Linked DNA regions of Lepisosteus oculatus. The protein of the gene in region 1 interacts with the protein of each later gene in a biochemical or structural test. Links are inferred from orthologs where the notes say so. Each region holds a gene or a part of one and is shown in the gene's direction. Other genes may lie near its edges.

Evidence for each region.
Region 2: of the proteins of ehmt2 (region 1) and lig1, one has a biochemical effect on the other in vitro, tested with the Homo sapiens proteins (3 studies listed by BioGRID). The link is inferred for Lepisosteus oculatus from reciprocal best matches to the Homo sapiens genes EHMT2 and LIG1.

Annotation. Positions count from the first base shown.
Region 1 is NC_090709.1:39,386,404-39,397,921, reverse strand, and holds the start of ehmt2 (histone-lysine N-methyltransferase EHMT2), read left to right. Parts: upstream 1-6,991; 5' UTR 6,992-7,209; coding exon 7,210-7,236; intron 7,237-9,591; coding exon 9,592-9,679; intron 9,680-9,988; coding exon 9,989-10,386; intron 10,387-11,018; coding exon 11,019-11,097; intron 11,098-11,219; coding exon 11,220-11,296; intron 11,297-11,518. Other genes in the region: zinc finger and BTB domain-containing protein 12-like, read right to left, coding at 314-523, 986-1,174, 2,718-2,921. UniProt on the Homo sapiens protein: Histone methyltransferase that specifically mono- and dimethylates 'Lys-9' of histone H3 (H3K9me1 and H3K9me2, respectively) in euchromatin.
Region 2 is NC_090699.1:6,242,999-6,254,380, reverse strand, and holds the start of lig1 (DNA ligase 1), read left to right. Parts: upstream 1-5,699; 5' UTR 5,700-5,886; coding exon 5,887-5,903; intron 5,904-7,250; coding exon 7,251-7,322; intron 7,323-8,014; coding exon 8,015-8,180; intron 8,181-8,978; coding exon 8,979-9,114; intron 9,115-9,635; coding exon 9,636-9,761; intron 9,762-10,434; coding exon 10,435-10,896; intron 10,897-11,029; coding exon 11,030-11,126; intron 11,127-11,382. Other genes in the region: ETS domain-containing transcription factor ERF-like, read left to right, coding at 344-470, 1,541-1,749.

The DNA of each region.
Region 1 (11,518 bases):
AGTCCAGACCCTCACACTGACCCCAGAGACACTCCTCACACAGAGAGAGGAGTCCAGACCCTCACACAGACCCCAGAGACACCCCTCACACACAGAGAGAGGAGTCCAGACCCTCACACAGACCCCAGAGACACTCCTCACACAGAGAGAGGAGTCCAGACCCTCACACAGACCCCAGAGACACTCCTCACACAGAGAGAGGAGTCCAGACCCTCACACAGACCCCAGAGACACCCCTCACACAGAGAGAGGAGTCCAGACCCTCACACAGACCCCAGAGACAATCTTACACTTCATTTCACAACAAGCATACCTTCAGCTCAGTGACACTGTGCATATTCTCCGTGCTCCTGTCTGGCTGTCGGTGTGACCTCTCTGTGACCTTGCCCCCCCACGACCGACATTGGACCTCGGGGTTCACCAGCGCAGTCTGGATAGCAGCAGTAGCCCTCATCACCCCAAAACGGCGGTTGCCCTGGAAGCCACTGAACCCAGGACTGGCAGTGTTGGGGTAGGGTGAAGACTGAGAGAGAGAGGGGTTCATACAGACATACTGACTGGACACTCCAGTACATGAACACTGCACTGAGAGAGAGAGGGGTTCACACAGACACACTGACTGGACACTCCAGTACATGAACACTGCACTGAGAGAGAGAGGGGTTCACACAGACACACTGACTGGACACTCCAGTACATGAACACTGCACTGAGAGAGAGAGGGGTTCATACACACACACTGACTGGACACTCCAGTACATGAACACTGCACTGAGAGAGAGAGGGGTTCATACAGACACCCTGACTGGACACTCCAGTACATGAACACTGCGCTGAGAGAGAGAGGGGTTCACACAGACACACTGACTGGACACTCCAGTACATGAACACTGCGCTGAGAGAGAGAGGGGTTCATACACACACACTGACTGGACACTCCAGTACATGAACACTGCACTGAGAGAGAGGGGGAGACCAGACTCACAGCGGTGGCGATCTGGGGTTCGATGAACTGGCTCAGGGCGCCCCTACACTTCTCCACCACGTGCTCCATCTGCAGGTAGCTGGCCGCGGTCAGGTAGTCCACGATCTCCCTGACCGTGAACTGGAGCACCCCAGTGTAGCAGGACTGCAGCAGCTCGCAGACGATACCAGAGCTGTGGAGCCCCGACACCTGCCCAGCGAGAGAGAGACAGTGAGAGGGGTTCGTTCAGGGAGACTGCTCTCAATCCAGCTCAACATGACCGATGAGTACAATCGGTGTTGCCAAAGCAAAACAACTACAGTTAACATCAAATCTACAGACTTTTACAATACAGGAAAAAAGATCCTGAGATTACTGAGAGACAGACTCACTGTTCCTCAGGCTGGGACAGGAGATCACACACTGTATTATTATTATTGAGAGACAGGCTCACTGTCTGTTCCTCAGGCTGGGACAGGAGATCACACACTGTATTATTATTATTGAGAGACAGGCTCACTGTCTGTTCCTCAGGCTGGGACAGGAGGTCACACACTGTATTATTATTATTGAGAGACAGGCTCACTGTCTGTTCCTCAGGCTGGGACAGGAAATCACACACTGTATTATTATTATTGAGAGACAGGCTCACTGTCTGTTCCTCAGGCTGGGACAGGAGATCACACACTGTATTATTATTATTGAGAGACGGGCTCACTGTCTGTTCCTCAGGCTGGGACAGGAGATCACACACTGTATTATTATTGAGAGACAGGCTCACTGTCTGTTCCTCAGGCTGGGACAGGAGATCACACACTGTATTATTATTATTGAGAGACAGGCTCACTGTTCCTCAGGCTGGGACAGGAGATCACACACTGTATTATTATTATTGAGAGACAGGCTCACTGTCTTTTCCTCAGGCTATGGTCACTGAGCCTGTCCTCTCTGGACAGTCAGGTCTGCCTGTGTCCAGTGTCTGTGTCCAGGCTGTGGTCACTGAGCCTGTCCTCTCTGGACAGCCAGGTCTGCCTGTGTCCAGTTTCTATGGCCAGGCTGTGGTCACTGAGCCTGTCCTCTCTAGACAGCCAGGTCTGCCTGTGTCCAGTGTCTGTGTCCAGGCTGTGGTCACTGAGCCTGTCCTCTCTGGACAGCCAAGTCTGTTTGTGTCCAGTTTCTATGGCCAGGCTGTGGTCACTGAGCCTGTCCTCTCTTGCAGCCAGGTCTGCCTGTGTCCAGTGTGTGTGTCCAGGCTGTGGTCACTGAGCCTGTCCTCTCTGGGCAGCCAGGTCTGCCTGTGTCCAGTGTGTGTGTCCAGGCTGTGGTCACTGAGCCTGTCCTCTCTGGACCGCCAGGTCTGCCTGTGTCCAGTGTCTGTGTCCAGGCTGTGGTCACTGAGCCTGTCCTCTCTGGACAGCCAGGTCTGCCTGTGTCCAGTGTGTGTGTCCAGGCTGTGGTCACTGAGCCCGTCCTCTCTGGGCAGCCAGGTCTGCCTGTGTCCAGTGTCTGTGTCCAGGCTGTGGTCACTGAGCCTGTCCTCTCTGGACAGCCAGGTCTGCCTGTGTCCAGTGTGTGTGTCCAGGCTGTGGTCACTGAGCCTGTCCTCTCTGGACCGCCAGGTCTGCCTGTGTCCAGTTTCTATGGCCAGGCTCTCTCTCTCTGTGTGTATGTGTGTTGAATGCATGTGTGTGCGTGTGTGTGCATGTGTATGCTGTGCGTGCGTGTGCCGCGGTACCGGGTCCGAGCCCCCCACCTGCAGCTCGGAGGAGGGGTTCAGCAGGAACTGGTCCCTCAGGAAAGGGGAGCAGGCCGCCAGCACCACCTTGTGGCCCCGGAACTGCTGGTTGTCGTTGGCGACAATGGTGACGTCGCAGAAGCGCTGGCGCGAGCGCAGCTGGTTCAGGTTGCGCAGCGTGGCGTCGCCGTGGCCCGGCAGGCGGAACCGCAGTACCTCCATCTCGCCACCGGGGGGCAGCAGCGCGCTGGTTCAGAGCGAGAGCGACACTTCAGCTGTACCGTTACTGACGAACTGCACACTATAGTACAGGAATTCATAGGTACTGCTTATCAAGTATTCATATCACATCTAATATTATTACTGCTAATTCATATTTAATTAATACTGCAGTGAGACAGGACCGTTCCAGTACATGAACACTGCACTGAGAGAGAGAGGGGTTCATACACACACACCCTGACTGGACACTCCAGTACATGAACACTGCACTGAGAGAGAGAGGGGTTCATACACACACACTGACTGGACACTCCAGGACATGAACACTGCACTGAGAGAGAGAGGGGTTCATACAGACACACTGACTGGACACTCCAGTACATGAACACTGCACTGAGAGAGAGAGGGGTTCATACAGACACACTGACTGGACACTCCAGTACATGAACACTGCACTGAGAGAGAGGGGGGTTCACACAGACACACTGACTGGACACTCCAGTACATGAACACTGCACTGAGAGAGAGAGGGGTTCATACAGACACACTGACTGGACACTCCAGTACATGAACACTGCACTGAGAGAGAGAGGGGTTCATACACACACACTGACTGGACACTCCAGTACATGAACACTGCACTGAGAGAGAGGGGTTCATACAGACACACTGACTGGACACTCCAGTACATGAACACTGCACTGAGAGAGAGGGGTTCATACAGACACACTGACTGGACACTCCAGTACATGAACACTGCACTGAGAGAGAGAGGGGTTCATACACACACACTGACTGGACACTCCAGTACATGAACACTGCACTGAGAGAGAGAGAGAGGGGTTCATACACACACACTGACTGGACACTCCAGTACATGAACACTGCACTGAGAGAGAGAGGGGTTAATTCAGACACACTGACTGGACACTCCAGTACATGAACACTGCACTGAGAGAGAGAGGGGTTCATACACACACACTGACTGGACACTCCAGGACATGAACACTGCACTGAGAGAGAGAGGGGTTCATACAGACACACTGACTGGACACTCCAGTACATGAACACTGCACTGAGAGAGAGAGGGGTTCATACAGACACACTGACTGGACACTCCAGTACATGAACACTGCACTGAGAGAGAGGGGGGTTCACACAGACACACTGACTGGACACTCCAGTACATGAACACTGCACTGAGAGAGAGAGGGGTTCATACAGACACACTGACTGGACACTCCAGTACATGAACACTGCACTGAGAGAGAGAGGGGTTCATACACACACACTGACTGGACACTCCAGTACATGAACACTGCACTGAGAGAGAGGGGTTCATACAGACACACTGACTGGACACTCCAGTACATGAACACTGCACTGAGAGAGAGGGGTTCATACAGACACACTGACTGGACACTCCAGTACATGAACACTGCACTGAGAGAGAGAGGGGTTCATACACACACACTGACTGGACACTCCAGTACATGAACACTGCACTGAGAGAGAGAGGGGTTCATACAGACACACTGACTGGACACTCCAGTACATGAACACTGCACTGAGAGAGAGAGGGGTTCATACACACACACTGACTGGACACTCCAGTACATGAACACTGCACTGAGAGAGAGAGGGGTTCATACAGACACACTGACTGGACACTCCAGTACATGAACACTGCACTGAGAGAGAGGGGGGGGTTCATACACACACACTGACTGGACACTCCAGTACATGAACACTGCACTGAGAGAGAGAGGGGTTCATACAGACACACTGACTGGACACTCCAGTACATGAACACTGCACTGAGAGAGAGGGGGGTTCACACAGACACCCTGACTGGACACTCCAGTACATGAACACTGCACTGAGAGAGAGAGGGGTTCATACACACACACTGACTGGACACTCCAGTACATGAACACTGCACTGAGAGAGAGAGGGGTTCATACACACACACTGACTGGACACTCCAGTACATGAACACTGCACTGAGAGAGAGAGGGGTTCATACAGACACCCTGACTGGACACTCCAGTACATGAACACTGCACTGAGAGAGAGAGGGGTTCACACACACACACTGACTGGACACTCCAGTACATGAACACTACACTGAGAGAGAGAGGGAGGTATCGATACATCAGTTAATAATACTCTATCGACAGCGGGAGATAATCATGATCACAGCCAGCCCGGACGGGGGGACCAGCTCATCCCCAGAGCTCGGAGGCCGGGGGGCACGGCCGGACCGGCCGGACCCGCGCTGCCCACCCGTGGGCCGGACCCGCAGCCCCCCGCGCGCGCTGCGTGGGGCTGTTAACGGGGAAGAGCTGCCCCACTCGCGCCGCCGTGCGCGATCACAAGGCGACGTGGGCGGGGAGGGAGGAGGGTGGACGCTGTTATTGTGCTATCAGCAGCCGGGCTGCGCTGTGTCTGCGCCGCGGGTCCGAGCCCCGGCCGGCTCATTCACCCCCCGATCGCTCAATTCCGCCCCCACAATAACGCGCAATTAGACACCCCCACCCCCCTACATGCACCCGCACTTACTGGTGCTCGCCTCGTGCTCTCCCGTCCCGAGCCGCGTCCTCGAGCGAGATTCTCGCCGCGGCGGCGCGCGCAGGGCTGCCGGCCCCCTTAAAGGGACAGGAGCTCCGTTTCCACCCTGTCTGTGTGTCGCGCGTCTCGGGGGGGGGTGTGAAACATTCCCCCGGGCCCCGGGCTGTCGTGGGGGGGGGGCTGACGTCTCACCGGGCTCACGCCTGACCAGCGAGACACACACACACACACACCTGGGAGCGACACACAGACACACACAGAAGTGCGCGCACACACACCTGGGAGAGACACACAGATACACACGCACCTGAGAGTGACACACACAGGCACACACACACCTTGGAGTGACACACACAGGCACACACACACCTTGGAGAGACACACACCTGGAAGAGACACACTCATTCAGACAGAATTACACTCACACACACATTCACACAGAAACATACACACACCCACGCGCGCACACAAATGGAGATCTGAATCAGTATCTACATTTTCCCCCCGCTTCAGAAATCATAAAAAATGGAATGTATCTTCCTTATTTTGAACGCATCTAGTTGGGTTCGGAGTGAAATAATTGTCCAGTATTGTCCAAGGGAGCAGATATGAAGAGACTCGGTTGTCATGTGGGATGTTTCTGGGAAAATGACAAAAGGATTGTGTCACGTCTCCTGTATTTAAAATACATGTCTTCTTTCTCTAAAATAAAAAGAAATACACACACACACACACACACACAGGTACGAGAGGACGATACAGATTAGAGGCGGTTACCCCAGACACACGTTGAGCTCGGCACCCCCCAGCATCGACACACACACAAACACAGGAGGAGCCCAGTGATAACCCCTATTACTATGAGTGTCCGCGCGACAGGTCCTATTATCACTATTATTAATTTGCCCTTGTGCACGGTTTGTGGCGGACAGGGGGTGCTGTCATACTCGTTGTTTACACTGTTATTGCTATTGTATTTACTGTCTGTCGTCCTGTCTGCTGCTGTTCTGTATGGACAGCGCCTGACGGACTCATGAGAAACTCTTCACTGCACTCCGCACCCGTGTCAGTATAATAATAATATAAGTCAAGTTGATCACTAGAAAAGACGAATAAAGTAGTAACAGTCAGTGTGGAACGAGACAGTGGATCAGCACTGTTTAAGGGTCTGGCAGTTCGTTCTGATGTACAATTCAGTTAAAAGCGTCAGAATCTCAGATCTATCTCAGATCAAACTATTTTTTTATGATTTTTTTTAATTTAAACCTCCGAAATACAAAAAAAGGAGACCAAATATTAAAACATATACAGAAATAGACGCACTCGCAATTATTAAAGCTGAAAATTGAGCTTTTTTTACATATTTTCCTTGTATGTCTTCCTTTAAATGCTAAAAAAAAAATATCAGATCGGAGCATGACTGGTTTCTGACGTCACAAACATGGACGCGGCCTTTGGGCTTCAGAGCACCTGGCCTCGGTCATGTGACCAGGGTGAGCTTGGCAGCGGCGGAGGGGGGAGGGGCGGAAGAGCGAAGCCCGGGAAAGCAGACAAACGGGAGGGGGCGGGGCCCGGGCGCGACGTGCCCGTGACGTCAGACGCCCGGGATTGTTCCCCGGCGGAGGACAATGGCGAGGGGGCGGGGCGCGCCGGCGGCGAGGGGGCGGGTCGCGCTCTGAGTGACGTCTTTCTCCGTCGCCCCGGAGTCGGAGCCAATATGTCGGCGGCTGAGCTCTCGAGTGAGGTGAGGAGACCTGATTTTGGATGCTTGCGTGTTTGGATTGATGTGGTCACCCCCCATCCTGCACCGTGTTGTCCGTGTGCAGCGGGACGGCCGCTTGGGGGGCGGGGGGGTTCCCGCAGCGCCTGCAGGGGCGCCTCGTTTCTGTCTGTAGGCTGGGGTACAAAGAGGCGCCCAGCGCCTTGCACAGAGCCGGGTCTTTTCAGGGTGCGAGCCCCGTCTCCGCGCCTGGACGCGCTGCTGCGTGTGTTAACGCTGCTGGGCAGACCCCGGCGTGGTGGGGAGGGCGATCGGCTGTGTGCGTGTGCGTGGAGGGGATGTTGTGTTTTCATCCAGGGAGACCGGACCCATATTCTCTCGTCTCTTTGTTCCTCAGTGCTCCGCCACACAGCCGGATTGAGAGCAGTCTGATCCACTGCACGTTTACAGCGATCTCTCAGACCCCCAGTGCACAGCAGTCTGATCCACTGCACGTTTACAGCGATCTCTCAGTCAGACCCCCAGTGCACAGCAGTCTGATCCACTGCACGTTTACAGCGATCTCTCAGTCAGACCCCCAGTGCACAGCAGTCTGATCCACTGCACGTTTACAGCGATCTCTCAGTCAGACTCCCAGTGCACAGCAGTCTGATCCACTGCACGTTTACAGCGATCTCTCAGTCAGACCCCCAGTGCACAGCAGTCTGATCCACTGCACGTTTACAGCGATCTCTCAGTCAGACCCCCAGTGCACAGCAGTCTGATCCACTGCAGGTGTGACAGTGCTGTCAGTCAGACTCCCAGTGCACAGCAGTCTGATCTGCTCCAGGTGTGACAGTGCTGTCAGTCAGACTCCCAGTGCGCAGCAGTCTGATCCGCTCCAGGTGTGACAGTGCTGTCAGTCAGACTCCCAGTGTGCAGCAGTCTGATCCGCTCCAGGTGTGACAGTGCTGTCAGTCAGACTCCCAGTGCGCAGCAGTCTGATCCGCTCCAGGTGTGACAGTGCTGTCAGTCAGACTCCCAGTGCGCAGCAGTCTGATCCGCTCCAGGTGTGACAGTGCTGTCAGTCAGACTCCCAGTGCGCAGCAGTCTGATCCGCTCCAGGTGTGACAGTGCTGTCAGTCAGACTCCCAGTGTGCAGCAGTCTGATCCGCTCCAGGTGGTACAGTGCTGTCAGTCAGACTCCCAGTGCGCAGCAGTCTGATCCGCTCCAGGTGTGACAGTGCTGTCAGACTCCCAGTGCGCAGCAGTCTGATCCGCTCCAGGTGTGACAGTGCTGTCAGTCAGACTCCCAGTGCGCAGCAGTCTGATCCGCTCCAGGTGTGACAGTGCTGTCAGTCAGACTCCCAGTGCGCAGCAGTCTGATCCGCTCCAGGTGTGACAGTGCTGTCAGTCAGACTCCCAGTGCGCAGCAGTCTGATCCGCTCCAAGTGGTACAGTGCTGTCAGTCAGACTCCCAGTGCGCAGCAGTCTGATCCGCTCCAGGTGTGACAGTGCTGTCAGTCAGACTCCCAGTGCGCAGCAGTCTGATCCACTCCAGGTGTGACAGTGCTGTCAGACTCCCAGTGCGCAGCAGTCTGATCCGCTCCAGGTGTGACAGTGCTGTCAGACTCCCAGTGCGCAGCAGTCTGATCCGCTCCAGGTGTGACAGTGCTGTCAGTCAGACTCCCAGTGCGCAGCAGTCTGATCCGCTCCAGGTGTGACAGTGCTGTCAGTCAGACTCCCAGTGCACAGCAGTCTGATCCGCTCCAGGTGTGACAGTGCTGTCAGTCAGACTCCCAGTGCGCAGCAGTCTGATCCGCTCCAGGTGTGACAGTGCTGTCAGTCAGACTCCCAGTGCGCAGCAGTCTGATCCGCTCCAGGTGGTACAGTGCTGTCAGTCAGACTCCCAGTGCGCAGCAGTCTGATCCGCTCCAGGTGTGACAGTGCTGTCAGTCAGACTCCCAGTGCGCAGCAGTCTGATCCGCTCCAGGTGTGACAGTGCTGTCAGACTCCCAGTGCGCAGCAGTCTGATCCGCTCCAGGTGTGACAGTGCTGTCAGACTCCCAGTGCGCAGCAGTCTGATCCGCTCCAGGTGTGACAGTGCTGTCAGACTCCCAGTGCGCAGCAGTCCGACCCCCTCCGGGTGTGAATGTCAGTCCTTAGACATGGTATGCCTGCTTTTCGAGCTCAGTGAAGCTGCGTGAATCTGGCACAAACACTAAAACCCAGCACATTCGTTTCTGCTGGTTTTTGACGTTGCAAGTAGCATTTGAGTGGCCTTCATGCCTGAGATACGGCACCTTATTTTTTCGAGGGTGCACTGTCGATCTCCATAGCAACGCATCCGTTCGGTCAAAGTGGAACTAATTACTTCTGCCTTCGTTTCCCCCACACCAGGAGGACACTAACCAGGGCGGACTCTCAGAGCAGAAGAAGAAGGCGGAGATTGCTGCCGGGAAGGACTCTGGTGACCAATCAGGAACAGGCAAGCCCACAGAGAGACACACCCACCCACAGAGAGACACACCCACCCACAGAGAGACACACCCACAGACAGTCACAGAGAGACACACCCACAGGGAGAAACACCCACAGACAGTCACAGGGAGACACACCCACAGGGAGAAACACCCACAGACAGTCACAGAGAGACACACCCACAGGGAGAGACACACACACACACACCCACAGAGAGACACACCCACAGACACCAGCCCCTCACTGGACACCAGTCCAGCACATAATAATAATAAAATAGCTCAGACTGTCTCCCTGCCCGTGTTCCGGTATCCAGGTGACGACGCCGGCGCCGCGGCGACCGTTCCCGAGGAGGCGGAGCCCATGGGGGGGATGATGTCGTCGCCGAAGGATTCCGAGAGGGAGGGGGAGGGGGCGGCCAAGGGGGGAGGGGAGCGGGCGGAGGAGGGGGGGGCGGTCTCCACGGCGCCCCCCGCCGGCAAGGGGCTGGCGGGCCACGCGGCCAAGACTCTCTCCTCCTCCTCCTCCTCCTCTTCCTCCTCCTCCTCCTCCTCCTCCTCGTCCCCCCCGGGTCGGGCGAAGATGAGCATGCCCAGCCAGGGAAAAGCCCCCCCGCCCGTGAGCCCCCCCGCCGACCCCCCCGCCGGCGCCGCGGCACCCCCCCCCAAAGTCCACCGGGCCAGGAAGACCATGAACAGGCCTGCGGCTGGACAGGTGCGGCCCATCGGGACCTGGGGCTGCCTGACTGTCTGCCTGCCTGCCTGTCTGTCTGTCTCTCTGACTGTCTGCCTGCCTGCCTGCCTGTCTGTCTCTCTGCCTGCCTGTCTGCCTGTCTCTCTGACTGTCTGCCTGCCTGCCTGCCTGTCTGTCTCTCTGCCTGCCTGCCTGTCTCTCTGACTGCCTGTTTCTCTGACTGCCTGCCTGCCTGCCTGTCTGTCCGTCTGCCTGCCTGTCTGCCTGTCTCTCTGACTCTCTGACTGTCTGCCTGCCTGTCTGTCCGTCTGCCTGCCTGTCTCTCTGTCTCTCTGACTGCCTGCCTGTCTGTCTGCCTGCCTGTCTCTATGCCTGTCTCTCTGAATGCCTGCCTGTCTCTTTGACTGCCTGCTTGTTTGCCTGCCTGTCTCTCTGACTGCCTGCCTGCCTGTCTCTCTGACTTCCTGCCTGCCTGTCTGTCTCTCTGCCTGCCTGCCTGTCTCTCTGACTGCCTGCCTGCCTGTCTCTCTGACTGCCTGCTTGTTTGCCTGCCTGTCTCTCTGACTGCCTGCCTGTCTGCCTCTCTGCCTGCCTGCCTCTCTGCCTGTCTCTCTCTGCCCTGTGTCTCACTGTCTCTCTGTCTCCCTGCGCAGATGAAGAGTGTTGATCCTCCTGAGCCTGCAGTGGACGCCCCTGAGCCTTCCACCAGCTCGCCACTAGAGGGCGACACAGGTCAGCCGGTCTCTCCTGTCTCCATCCTCTCCCCTCTCTCTCCCCCCTCACTCCTCTCTCTCCCCTCTCCCCTCTCCTCTCTCTCTCCTCTCTCCCCGATTGACTCCCGCTCTGTCTCTCAGGAGGAGTGAAGAGGAGGAGGCTGGATGTCTCGTCGCCCCCTGCAGGGCAGCTGGAGAAGAGCAGCGAGGAGGAGGAGGTGGGTGGGGTCACGCTGACGGAGAGCCTCGAACCCTGTGTGTCTCTCCGTCATATTGTCTGTCTTACCTCTCCTGTCTCTCTCTCTCCTCTGCCTTATCTCTCTCTCCTCCCCTCTCTCCTGTCTCTCTTCTCTCTCTCTCTCTCCTCTACCTCATCTCTCTCCTTCTCTCTATCCTGTCTCTCTCTCCCCTCTCTCCTGTCTCTCTTCTCTCTTTTCTCT
Region 2 (11,382 bases), on another chromosome or scaffold:
TGGCCATTCCACGGCATGCCCTTTCCCGACATCCATAACACCTACAGAACCGCTACACCCACCCTTTGTGACTGTACCTCCAGCCCCTAGCTGTTGTCAGAACACAGCCCTGATGTCATCTTTTGCGGTCCCCAGCGTGGATTCTAAAAGGGGGTACTCCTTTATGAGCAGGAGAGTTTCAGGGTAACTGGTGTCACCACCGATGTCTCAGACTCGGGCTGTAGTTTTCATGTCTCTCCTTCTCACTGCAATTCACCCTGCGGCCAGGGGGAGGTGCTGCCTGCCAACATACTCTGAGAAACCATCAGCCCTTATTCTCATCATCATCATATCAATCTGTCAGTTCCTGCAGAACCTGCTGTTCACCCAGAGAGCCCTGGTGAACCAGATCAGCTCTCGGAGAGCAGGGTGTCCTGGTGACGTCACCTGTGGAGTGGAGGGGATATCAAAGACACCAGGGCTGGACAGAGGTAGGACACCTATAGGGTTTAGTGGGGGGAAGGGGTGAAGAGGGATATCAGAGCCTTATTTATCAAACTCAGGGAAGCCTGCAAAATTACAGCTCATGCCATGGACTGGACCAAACTTCCAGTCCTCATAAAGATACGTCACTAGCTTGGGTCTGGAGAACCGATCTGCAGTACAAAGATTAAAAGCAATCAATGGTTTGGCACTGACGACTACAATCAATTTAAATAATCCGCTTTTCACTGTGGCTCTGTATCTTACACACCTGGCTCGAGTCCAGCTGCATACCTGTGGGCTGGAAAGATGATCGGTCCAGACCACGGGTGATCCCGACAGGTGCAATAAGAAATGAACACCCTTGAGGGAAGACAGGCTGCCCCCCCATTGCATGCTTTTCATCGTGTTGTTTTTAGTTACAAGCGTCAGTAAGTGTTTCTAATAATTATCCAGGAGAACATCAGAGAGCAAGCGTGGCACAGCAGCACAGCGGTTTGCGTTATTGTCTTGTAGCGCTGGGGCCCTGGGTTCAATTCCAGACCCGGGGTGCTGTCTGTGTGGAGTTTGTGCTTTCTGTGTTCGTGTGGGTTTTGCTCTGGATGCTTTGGATCCTCCCACAGGCCAAAGATATGCTGGTGTAACCCACTTAACCAATTGGATTCTGGGAAAATTGGCCTTGGTGTGAGTGTGCATATCTGCCCTGTGATCTTGTCTTGCGCCCGTTGCTGGCCAGGAAAGGCTCTGGCTCTCCTGTGAGCCCAAGTTGGAAGATGGATGGAATTCACTTGAATACTACTGGAAAAAACAAAATAAAAACGATAAAAAGCACAAATAAATGGGTGTCTGTATGTCGTAACTAAGTGGTTAAGATCTGCAATACTAACTGTCTAATCCTACCTATAAAATACTGAATTATCCCATTCATCTTCAATTGCAGCTCTGCATTTGGCTCGCCACCCGTTTTTTCTGCACCCCTGCTGTCTCCCAACGCCCCTCCCCTTCCCACATTCCCCTCTCCCGGGTGGGCGTGTCTCCTATATCTCGGCCCCGCCCCCTCCGGGACTGAACCTATCAGACGTCCCCCACCTGCCCCCCCTCAACCCCAGCCTGCACTTCTGCCCGCCCTTTCCGGGCGCGCCGATCCCCTGGCCAGCCAGCAGGAGCAGGATGGAGCAGGAGGAAGAGGAGAGGGCCGGCGGGGTCCCGGTGAAGAAGGAGAGCCGGAAGGGGAGTGACCAGACCAGGATGGGGCAGTGGAAGACCGGCTTCCCTGTTGCAGTTTGATTTACAGACAATATTCCTTCTGTCTTTAACACGCGATTGATTTGAACGCTTGTCCCTGCCAAATTCAAATCCCTCCTCCATCCGAGACTGTGGAAGTGCTCCACTTATCCTTCTCTCATTTCACCATTCAAATTGGTAGAAATCAGACTCCCACCTGGAGTCGTTACTCCTGACCTGTCCTGAGCACGTTTTAGACAGACGCCTGCTGTGGTACAGTGTACATGTCACGATCGTAAACCCCTCCTCTTAAGGACGCTCCAGCCCTTCCTTGTTTTCCACTCATCTCCTGCACCTGCTCCCTGTTCCAGCCCCCTTTAAAAGCCAGGCGCTCACTCTGTTCCGGGCTCTGCATTGGGTTCCGTACCAGGCGAGTCCAGGACCTGGAAGCGCCTGGTCCCGTTAAGGTTTTAGTTCCTGTTCCTGTTCCCGTTCCCGTTCCCATGCCGGTCCTGACCCGGTTCTTGTTTTATCTCGTCGGGCTTTGGACTTTTGCCCTGACTTGGATTCCCCTTTTGGACTCAGCTCTGGATTGTTTGCCTCGGCCACACCTCCCCCGAACACAAGCGCACCATGGAAACGCCCCCCGTTTTCATTCCCGATTCCCGCATGCTTTTTTTCCCCTGTGTTTTTTCTCACTCATCCCCGGATTGTGTCGTCTGCATAGGGTCCAGAAAGAACGCTTTTGTTACATTACGAGACCTCACGAGTAACTGAAAGGCCGGGATAATGTTATCAGGAATAGACACTGGACCATAAAAGGAATGGTCACTCATAAACCCCTCTACATGGACTATTAAACCCTCTGGATCACTCCTGGAATTCAGGACACGGTGGAGGAAATCAGTTCCCCCACCAGCACTCGGTGACTTAAAGACCAGAGCAGAACAGCAAGGAGAAAAATTACTAGCTGAGGAACAACGTGTTTTATACTTTGTTCTCTGCGGTTTTTACAGTGAGTCTGTTATGAGGTGACATCGCTCACGTACCATAGGTAACCTGACTTTGGCAGATCCCTTGTTAAAAGAAACAATATGTGCTGTGACCATTTACATGACCGTCGCGGTTCCGCGTGGGCTTCTGCCCTCCGCCACCCGTTTCGTCCCACCACACCTGGGGTGCGAACCTGGGTCTCCGGCGTAATGCAACAGGGCACCAGCCACGTGAGCTAAAGGAGACCTCCCCCAGCCCAGGCGGCTGAGGTCCCTGCGCTGCGCGAGGGAAGGCGATGACGTCACAGTGCCCGAACGCGCTCCGCTACAGTATGAAGCTCAAAATACCCCTTGTGTGCGTTTGCTTCCGGTGTTCTTGAAAAACAGCTTCTTTTTTGGTCACAAATAAACTCATCTCCAACCTTCTGCGGACTGCACTTTGACTCCCTGCATCCCGACAAATAAAAAAGCAGACATCCTCAGCTCCCATTTCCAGAAGAGAGACCCAGATCTGGACAAGGAAGAAGACAGCTCATTGAGGAAAAAAAAGCAAAGGCTTATTGGAAATTAAGATGCCTCACTTGTGGCCGAATCAAACCCATTTATCTTTAAGAAAAGAAACAATAGTCTGTAGACACAGTTATAGCAGGGCTGCTCAACCCCTGGCCCTCCAGTTGACTCCATTGCAGGACTTAGATCCTCAGCAGCTACAGTGTGTCGATCCTGCTAAAACAGGGTTTTTGATGAACGTTTGGGGAGGATGACAGCAACTAAGCACCCATCTATCTGCCTCCTGCCTCCACCTGCGCAGCCCCCTCTCGGTCTTCTCCCCGCCCTGCTGACTTCCTCTCTCCTCAGCCCAGGTGTCGAACCCCCCAGCCAAGCAGAATGAGCCAACGCGTCTTGCGTCCAACCCCCTGACCGCTATTCCGAAACAGATGCTCTTGCTGGATGTCGGGGGAGGGATCTGGACTTTGTGAGCTGCTGGAAGCATCTGCAGTACCACGTAGATGCTCAAAACTGAGATCCCCCCAAACAACTTCAATACAAAGTTATTAGTTGTTAAGTAGCAGGATCACTATAGCATCAGGAAAGCTGGTAGCATTATAGCACTGCAGTGAATGAGATTGGAGGGGTCAAAGGTTGAATGTTCTGGATCTACTCCGTGTGTCTCCATTCTAATTCTGTATGTTATTTCACTACAATTAAAATATATATAACTTTGTGCCATTTTCATTTCATCATGTTGTGGTTCACGCTTTTATTTGCAGAGTTTCTGGTTCGCATTTGTGTTTCTCTGTTCTTTGTTTGCTTCTTTGTTGAAACAAAAATCTGGATTCAATCAAAGCTCCGATCGAGTCACCCTCTGCAGATCTGTTTTGAATCAATGAAAGCAGAAGTGGTCGGAGTAAGTGATCAGTAAATCATGAAGTGATCAGAACCTCAGATCTCCAGGTGTCAGTGTGAACAGAGGAGGAGTTCAGGCTGTGGAGATCAGTAGGTGATCAGTAGATCAATAGGTGTTCAGAACCTCAGATCTCCAGGTGTCAGTGTGAACAGAGGAGGAGTTCAGACAGTGGAGATCAGTAGGAAATCAGTAGATCAGGAGGTGATCAGAACCTCAGACCTCCAGGTGTCAGTGTGAACAGAAGTGTGTAGGAGGTAATCAGTACACTGTAGACCTCCAGGTGTCAGTGCGAAAAGGGGAGTGGAGGAGGTGATCAGTAGACTGTAGATCTCCAGGTGTCAGTGCGAGCAGAGGAGGAGTTCAGACAGTGGAGATCAGTAGGCTGATCAGCAGGTGATCAGTCGATCAGGAGGTGTTCAGAACCTCAGATCTCCAGGTGTCAGTGTGAACAGGAGTGTGGAGGAGGTGATCAGTAGACTGTAGATCTCCAAGTGTCAGTGCGAAAAGGGGAGTGGAGGAGTTGATCAGTAGATCACGAGGTGATCAGAACCTCAGATATCCAGGTGTCAGTGTGGACAGGTTGGTGTAGCAATGGGGATCATTAGACTCTAGATCTACAAGTGAGCTGCAGGTCACCACTAACAGGCTTGTCAGAAGAAATTCAGTGGGTGAGTAAACCAGCCCTCTAGTGCCAAAAGACATTTTGTCTTGTGAATGCAAGGAAATGGTTCACTTTATTTGGATTATAATTCTTTATGTGTTTTTTTTCCAAAGTAGGTGTGTGTTTGGCATAGGCTTCATGTCACACAAACAATCCAAATGACACAAACAATTCCTGTAAATTCTGTAAATGTCTGTGCACCAATAGTAATGTGCAAACATCATAAAATATGATAGAGAGAATTGCTACCTAGGCTGTTAAAGACTGTTGTAGCTGTTTTAGGAGTCAGGATACCATAAGGTATTTTGTCAAGAAATGGGGACTTAGACATATCCTGTCCTTATGGCAATGTGACTCTTTATTTTCACATTCAATATTATTATATTATTATGCTGCTGTAATTTCAACTAATGGGGATTCTGACAAAAGAAAACAGATACAAATGATCATGCTCTCTTTTTACTCCCATTTATAGATGCTGTTCAGAATGAAATCATATTTCATATTTCGTAATATATTCTTAAAGTCTTAGTTAAAGTCATCATAACTGGCCACTTTCAGTAGGCTGAACTGACTGGCTTACTTCAATAATTGAATTTATCGTCGTCTAGACTGATTTGTACAGAGAATTTTTTTTTCTAAGTTTATATGAGTTTGATTTACTTTTGCCCATCGACTTAACATCATATACCCCTCTCCATGTATAAGATGTTCAATAAAGTCAAGCTGAAATAATCCACAGTTCTGAGTTTGGCCGTTTTTCTTTAAGCAGTAAAAGCCCTGGGGCAATGAGAAGAGAATTCTGCGACGACCGCACCGTGACGGCGATACACAAACCTCTGCCCCCCACCAAGATGGCGACGTCGTGCGGCGTTTCCGGGTGTTTCTGTTCAATCTGTGTCAAAGAGCGGGATGTCTATGGTTCTCGTCTGCAGGGCGGGTTTTCCCGGCAGCTGCTGGGCGACGTCACTTTGGCGCTTCAGTTTAGAGTCGGAGCGCGCGGAAAGAAAGCGGTCGGGAAGGTGGTAGTACTTTGGATTAATTAAACAAACACACAAAAAGAGAAAAACACGTTATCTTCGATTTGATTTGCTGTTTGGCATTCTGGACCCGGGCCTTGAAGACATCCGGAGCTGACGATGCAGAGGAGTATAGCGTGAGTTTCATCACTGGCGATTTGCTGGGTGTTTGTGCATGCAGAGAGAGACTTTGCAGCAGCCTGGGCTGAGAGGGCATCGGGCATTGATGTGCACGTATCTGTATGTGCCGTCGTGTTCAACGGCTCTGCTGGCGTGCCTTGAAATGGTTTATTTTTTTCCGGTTGTGTTAACGATAGCACGCGTCGTTTTAACCGGGTTGCAAAAGAAATATGTGGTTTAAAAATAAAAAAAAACCAAGGAATCGTACTCAGCGATTGTGTCCTAGACGCAGGTCTTTTCACAGGTTTGGGGTCTCTTCTACAATCGCCGATTGCATTCGGGATGAGCTGGAGTCTCACGGCCCGGCCTGCTGTAGGCTGTTTATTTGGCTGCTGTACTGTACTGTACTGTAGGGGAGGCTGGAGCCGGAAGTGTGCGTGTCCAGAGCCCCGCTTGGCAACCTGTTGACCGGTCAGTGCGACCTGCGGCTCTGACTTGAGACGAGAAACAATTTGTGCCGCCGCGTTTTATGCTCCGTGCGATTTAAAGTTCAGGACTGACCGCCTTTTTCACTGCTGCAGCGTTGAGCTGCGTCCAGGCGCGTAGCTGCTGCGCGGTGATGCCGGTGCATTATTTATTTGCCAGCAGCCATGTCCCCCTGCAGCTCAGCACTGGCAGCCCCACTGGAGCTCAGCAGTGTGAGCCTGACCAGTACCCTGGAGGGGAGACTCCTGGGAGAGCTGAGGCTGCTGCTGGAAGAGGTGTTAGTGGGGCCAGTAGGGGGCGCTCACCCTGCGGTCTGTGTGGGTCCTAATGCCCCAGTATAGTGACAGGGACACTAGACTGTAAACAGGCGCCGTCCTTCGGATGAGACGTAAAACCGAGGTTATGACTCTGTGGTCATTAAAAATCCCAGGGTGTCTCTCGAAAAGAGTAGGGGTGTCACCCCGGTGTCCTGGCCAAATTTCCCCCTGGTCTTTACCCATCATGGCCTCCTAATAACCCCCCTCTCTGAACTGGCTCCATCACTCTGCTCTCCTCCCCACTGAGAGCTGCTGTGTGTGAGCAGACTGGAGCTTCACCCAGGTGGGGGGACACACTGGTGGGGGTGGAGGGGATCCCCATGACCTGTAAAGAGCGATGTTATTTATAAATTGCGGGTTTTGGAAAAGCAAAGGTGTTGGGTAAAGAAATGTTGTTGAATCGTCTTTACCGAATGAAAATAAAATCAGATCTCTGGCTTATTAAAACCCATGATTTTAAAGGCGCTTCCGCCTGTAGTTATTGTCCGTGGCCCACACGGTTCGTGTCGACCTTGGTCGCTGTGCGTGTGTGTGAAATGAAGTCCGCGCTCTCTGTCGCAGCTCGTTCTTCCGGCCCGCGGCGGCTGGCGACGGGAAGACCAAGGGGAGCGCGAGGACCGCGGAGAAGACGGAGTGAGTAAAAGACTTTTACTGCCTTTTTACCCTGATCTCACTGGGCTGTGCTGCACTGTGTTTGTACCCCGATCTCACTGGGCTTTTACTGTGCTGTACTGTGTTTTTACCCCGATCTCACTGGGCTGTACTGTGTTTTTACCCCGATCTTACTCGGCTGTACTGCTCTGGACTGTGTTTTTACCCCAGTCTCACTGGGCTTTAATGCACTGGACTGTGTTTTTACCCCAGTCTCACTGGGCTTTAATGCACTCGACTGTGTTTTTACCCCAGTCTCACTGGGCTTTAATGCACTCGACTGTGTTTTTACCCCAGTCTCACTGGGCTTTAATGCACTCGACTGTGTTTTTACCCCGATCTCACTGGGCTTTTACTGTGCTGTACTGTGTTTTTACCCCGATCTCACTGGGCTTTTACTGCGCTGTACTGTGTTTTTACCCTGATCTCACAGGGCTTTACTGTACTGTACTGTGTTTTTACCCCAATCTCACTGGGCTGGACTGCGCTGGACTGTGTTTTTACCCCAATCTCACTGGGCTTTTACTGTGCTCTACTGTGTTTTTACCCCGATCTCACTGGGTTGTACAGTAACTTTGCTCATCATTAAGGAGATCATCACCCCCGGGTTATGATGGGGTGCCCAGCTCCCCAAGCCCCAGATCCTCAGCTCAACCTCTCCCTCTGTCTCCCAGGCCCGCCAAGTCCCCCCTGAAACCGCAGAACGGCACCCCGGAGCCTGACTCCCCCATAAAGAAGACGGCCAAGAGAACCCGACGCATCGCGGACAGCGACGATGACGAGCCGCGTGGCGGGGAGACCCAGGGGGCCACTCCTGCACCCCAGGCTGCTGCGGAGCAGGTGAGCGCCCCGCTTTTCTCTCATGCCTGGGGGGCCGTGAGTTCAAATCCAGCTGGGGGGCACAGCTGCTGCCCCCTTAAGTGAGGTTGCGCCTGCAGTCCCAGCTGTGAGAGTGTCGGGAACAGACACTGCAGGAGACTGACAGGCGCTCTGGATAGCGGAATAATACAAGAATCGAGTCCCCAGGCAGTTAGCAACATGACCTCTTGGGATGACACTGTTTCCCATTCAACCTGAGCTATCCCTTAACTGAAGGGTCTAATTGATCACTTCCTCGGTCAGTCAGACCACGCGGTCATCTGCTTCATGTTCATTGAATAAAACCATCCAGTGAAACCTGCAGCGTGTGTGAGGTTGAGTCGTCAGCACCAGGTGGCTGCTCTTAGAGCAGGGGCAGCTGTGTTTTATCAGTAGAGCGAGGCCGTGTCTTGCATATTTGTTCGAATTTCAATCTGACGGTAGCCAGAACGGCGTACATTCATGTTGTGAAGTGCCCATTTGTTGCTTGCTTTTATATTTGTTAAGAGACGTCCTTATAGCACAGTGTGTATACATATACATTCCCAATGTAATGTTATAGATATATGTACATTGTAGCACGTCTGTTAGTTAATTGATTGGTGTAACTGACCAGTTAATTGGTTTAATTGGCCTTTTTTTATTTACTGTAAAATGTAAACATTCTTAGAACACTTTCTCCAGCCCCCCTTTGATTGTATTGTAACGGTAAAATTGTCATCATATTTTTAGGGGAGCAATATTTTTAGGGTCTTTTATTCTGGGTTTTCTCCCCTCCAGGTCACCCCTGTATCTGCCCCTCCCCAGCCCAGGACGGATTCTGCCCCGGACGTCAGCTCCCCCTCCGGCAGCGAGGGCTCCCCCGGCAGCGAGGGTGCCGTCATCTCCCCCTCCGGCATCCCCAAGCGGCGCACCGGTACGCCCCGCCCCCATGGGGCGGCGCTGGGTCAACCCTTCGGCGTGGTTCCCATAGATAGTTTGGCAGACTCATAATACTTGTTAACCCTGCATGCCGATCACATTGGAAACTATCTGCAGTGAAATGTCTGTTGCACAACCTGCACTTCTCCACTCATTCATGAGAGTACATAGTCATTGCAGGGACTAGTGAGCAGGAAGGGCTGCAATCAAGTTACAGTTGGCCGGAGCTCGAATGCCAGTTTGCGACCACATGGCGATTTATAGTACTTTCACAAAGTTCACAATTTAGCAATGCCATCGATGAATTTATTTTGTGATTGAGACTTAATAACCCGTCTGAGAAATTAATTAATTTAATTGATTAAGGGGGGCACAGCTTAAATCTGGGGATTTAAACCAGGATCCTCCTGGTTGTTTGCTGAAATACTTGAAGATCTACTTGTCTGTGTCTGTGTTGCTGTTCTGCGTGTTTTTCCATGTCGATGATGATGAACGGGAACTTGACTCCTTCTGCAGCCCGGAAACAGTTCCCCAAAAGGAAACTGGAGATCACAGAGGAGAGACGGGCGTCGCCCCCAGAAGACGCCGGGCCGTTGGAGAGCCAGCCCAAGAGAGCACGACTGGAGGATCGGGAGACGCCAGGTAAGAGTCTGAAAGGATTTGCTTTTGGAAAATGAGACTGAGAAATTAGGGAAAACGTGTCAAGAAAAACTGCTGGTCAGTACAGGTCCCAGGACACTGTCAGTAAGAGTAGGGGTGTCCTGACTGCTGGTCAGTACAGATCCCAGGACACTGTCAGTAAGAGTAGAGGTGTCCTGACTGCTGGTCAGTACAGATCCCAGGACACTGTCAGTAAGAGTAGGGGTGTCCTGACTGCTGGTCAGTACAGATCCCAGGACACTGTCAGTAAGAGTAGGGGTGTCCTGACTGCTGGACAGTACAGGTCCCAGGACACTGTCAGTAATAGTAGAGGTGTCCTGACTGCTGGTCAGTACAGATCCCAGGACACTGTCAGTAAGAGCAGGGGTGTCCTGACTGCTGGTCAGTACAGATCCCAGGACACTGTCAGTAAGAGTAGGGGTGTCCTGACTGCTGGTCAGTACAGATCCCAGGACACTGTCAGTAAGAGTAGGGCTGTCCTGACTGCTGGACTGTACAGATCCCAGGACACTGTCAGTAAGAGGAGAGATATTAACTCCACTCTTGTGATTAATCTCTACTCTGGGTTACACTTTCCTGATATTCGGGGGTGGGTACTCTTCTTCGCTTCTTTTTGCTTCTGGCTGTTCACATTTATGCGTGTGTGTCCCCGAAGCAGAGAAGGTGAATGGAGAAGCCATGGAAGTCGACTCCGGGGGCGTCCCCTCGGAGAAGCAGGGAAGCTCGCCCGTCGGGGGACAGCCAGCCGGAGCGGCCGAAAGCGACCCCTCGCCCGGGGCGGAGGAGGGGACGGGAGACATCGCCGAGATGAAGGTCGAGCCGGGGCCGGGCGAGGCGAGAGAATCGGAGCCCTCCGAGGACGCTGGGAAAAAGAGGCTGGACGCCACGTCCAAGCCAGCTGCGCCGAAGGCAGGGGCCGCCTCCCCTCTCCAGAAGCCCGACGACGCCAACGCCAAGACCAAGACCAAGACGTCGGCCAGACCGGCTGCGAGCAGGGTGAAGTCCCCCCAGGCGGACAAGAAAGAAGGGAAGAAGGGAGAGGAGGTCGGAGCCGGGAAGTCGGTGGAGCCAGGGAAGGTGGAACCTGCCAAGAGCCGGGCCGTCAGCAGCTTCTTCAGTAAGTCCCCCCCACCCCTCCACTGCCGCGCGGCGCAGTGACCTGGGTCCCACAGCCCCCGCCACATCGCTCCCTCCCTCTCGGACCCTTCCCGCCTTTTCCTTTCTCAAATCAGCCAACGTTGCTCCAACAGCCCCCAAGAAGGCGGCCGTCAAGCTGGAGAAATCGGATGGCGAGAAGCCTGCGGTCCAGACGTCTCCGCCGGAGAGCAGGGAGACCAAAGGAGGGAGGTGAGACTCGGGGATGGGGACAAGCACGGGCACGGCCGGGAAGTTGGGCACGTCGGGATCCCATTCCACATCCCTTTCTTTTCCCAGCAGGCTGCGATGGGAACGATGATGATTCAGGTGGGACCTTTGAACAAGGCAGGGTCCGCTGAAGTAGTTTCTAACAAGTAACACATTAGCCCTGCGTGCATATGTGATGATGTCACACCCCAGGAGTCATGTAAAATCCTGTAAATGTTAAGAGCTGTAAAAGCTCGGC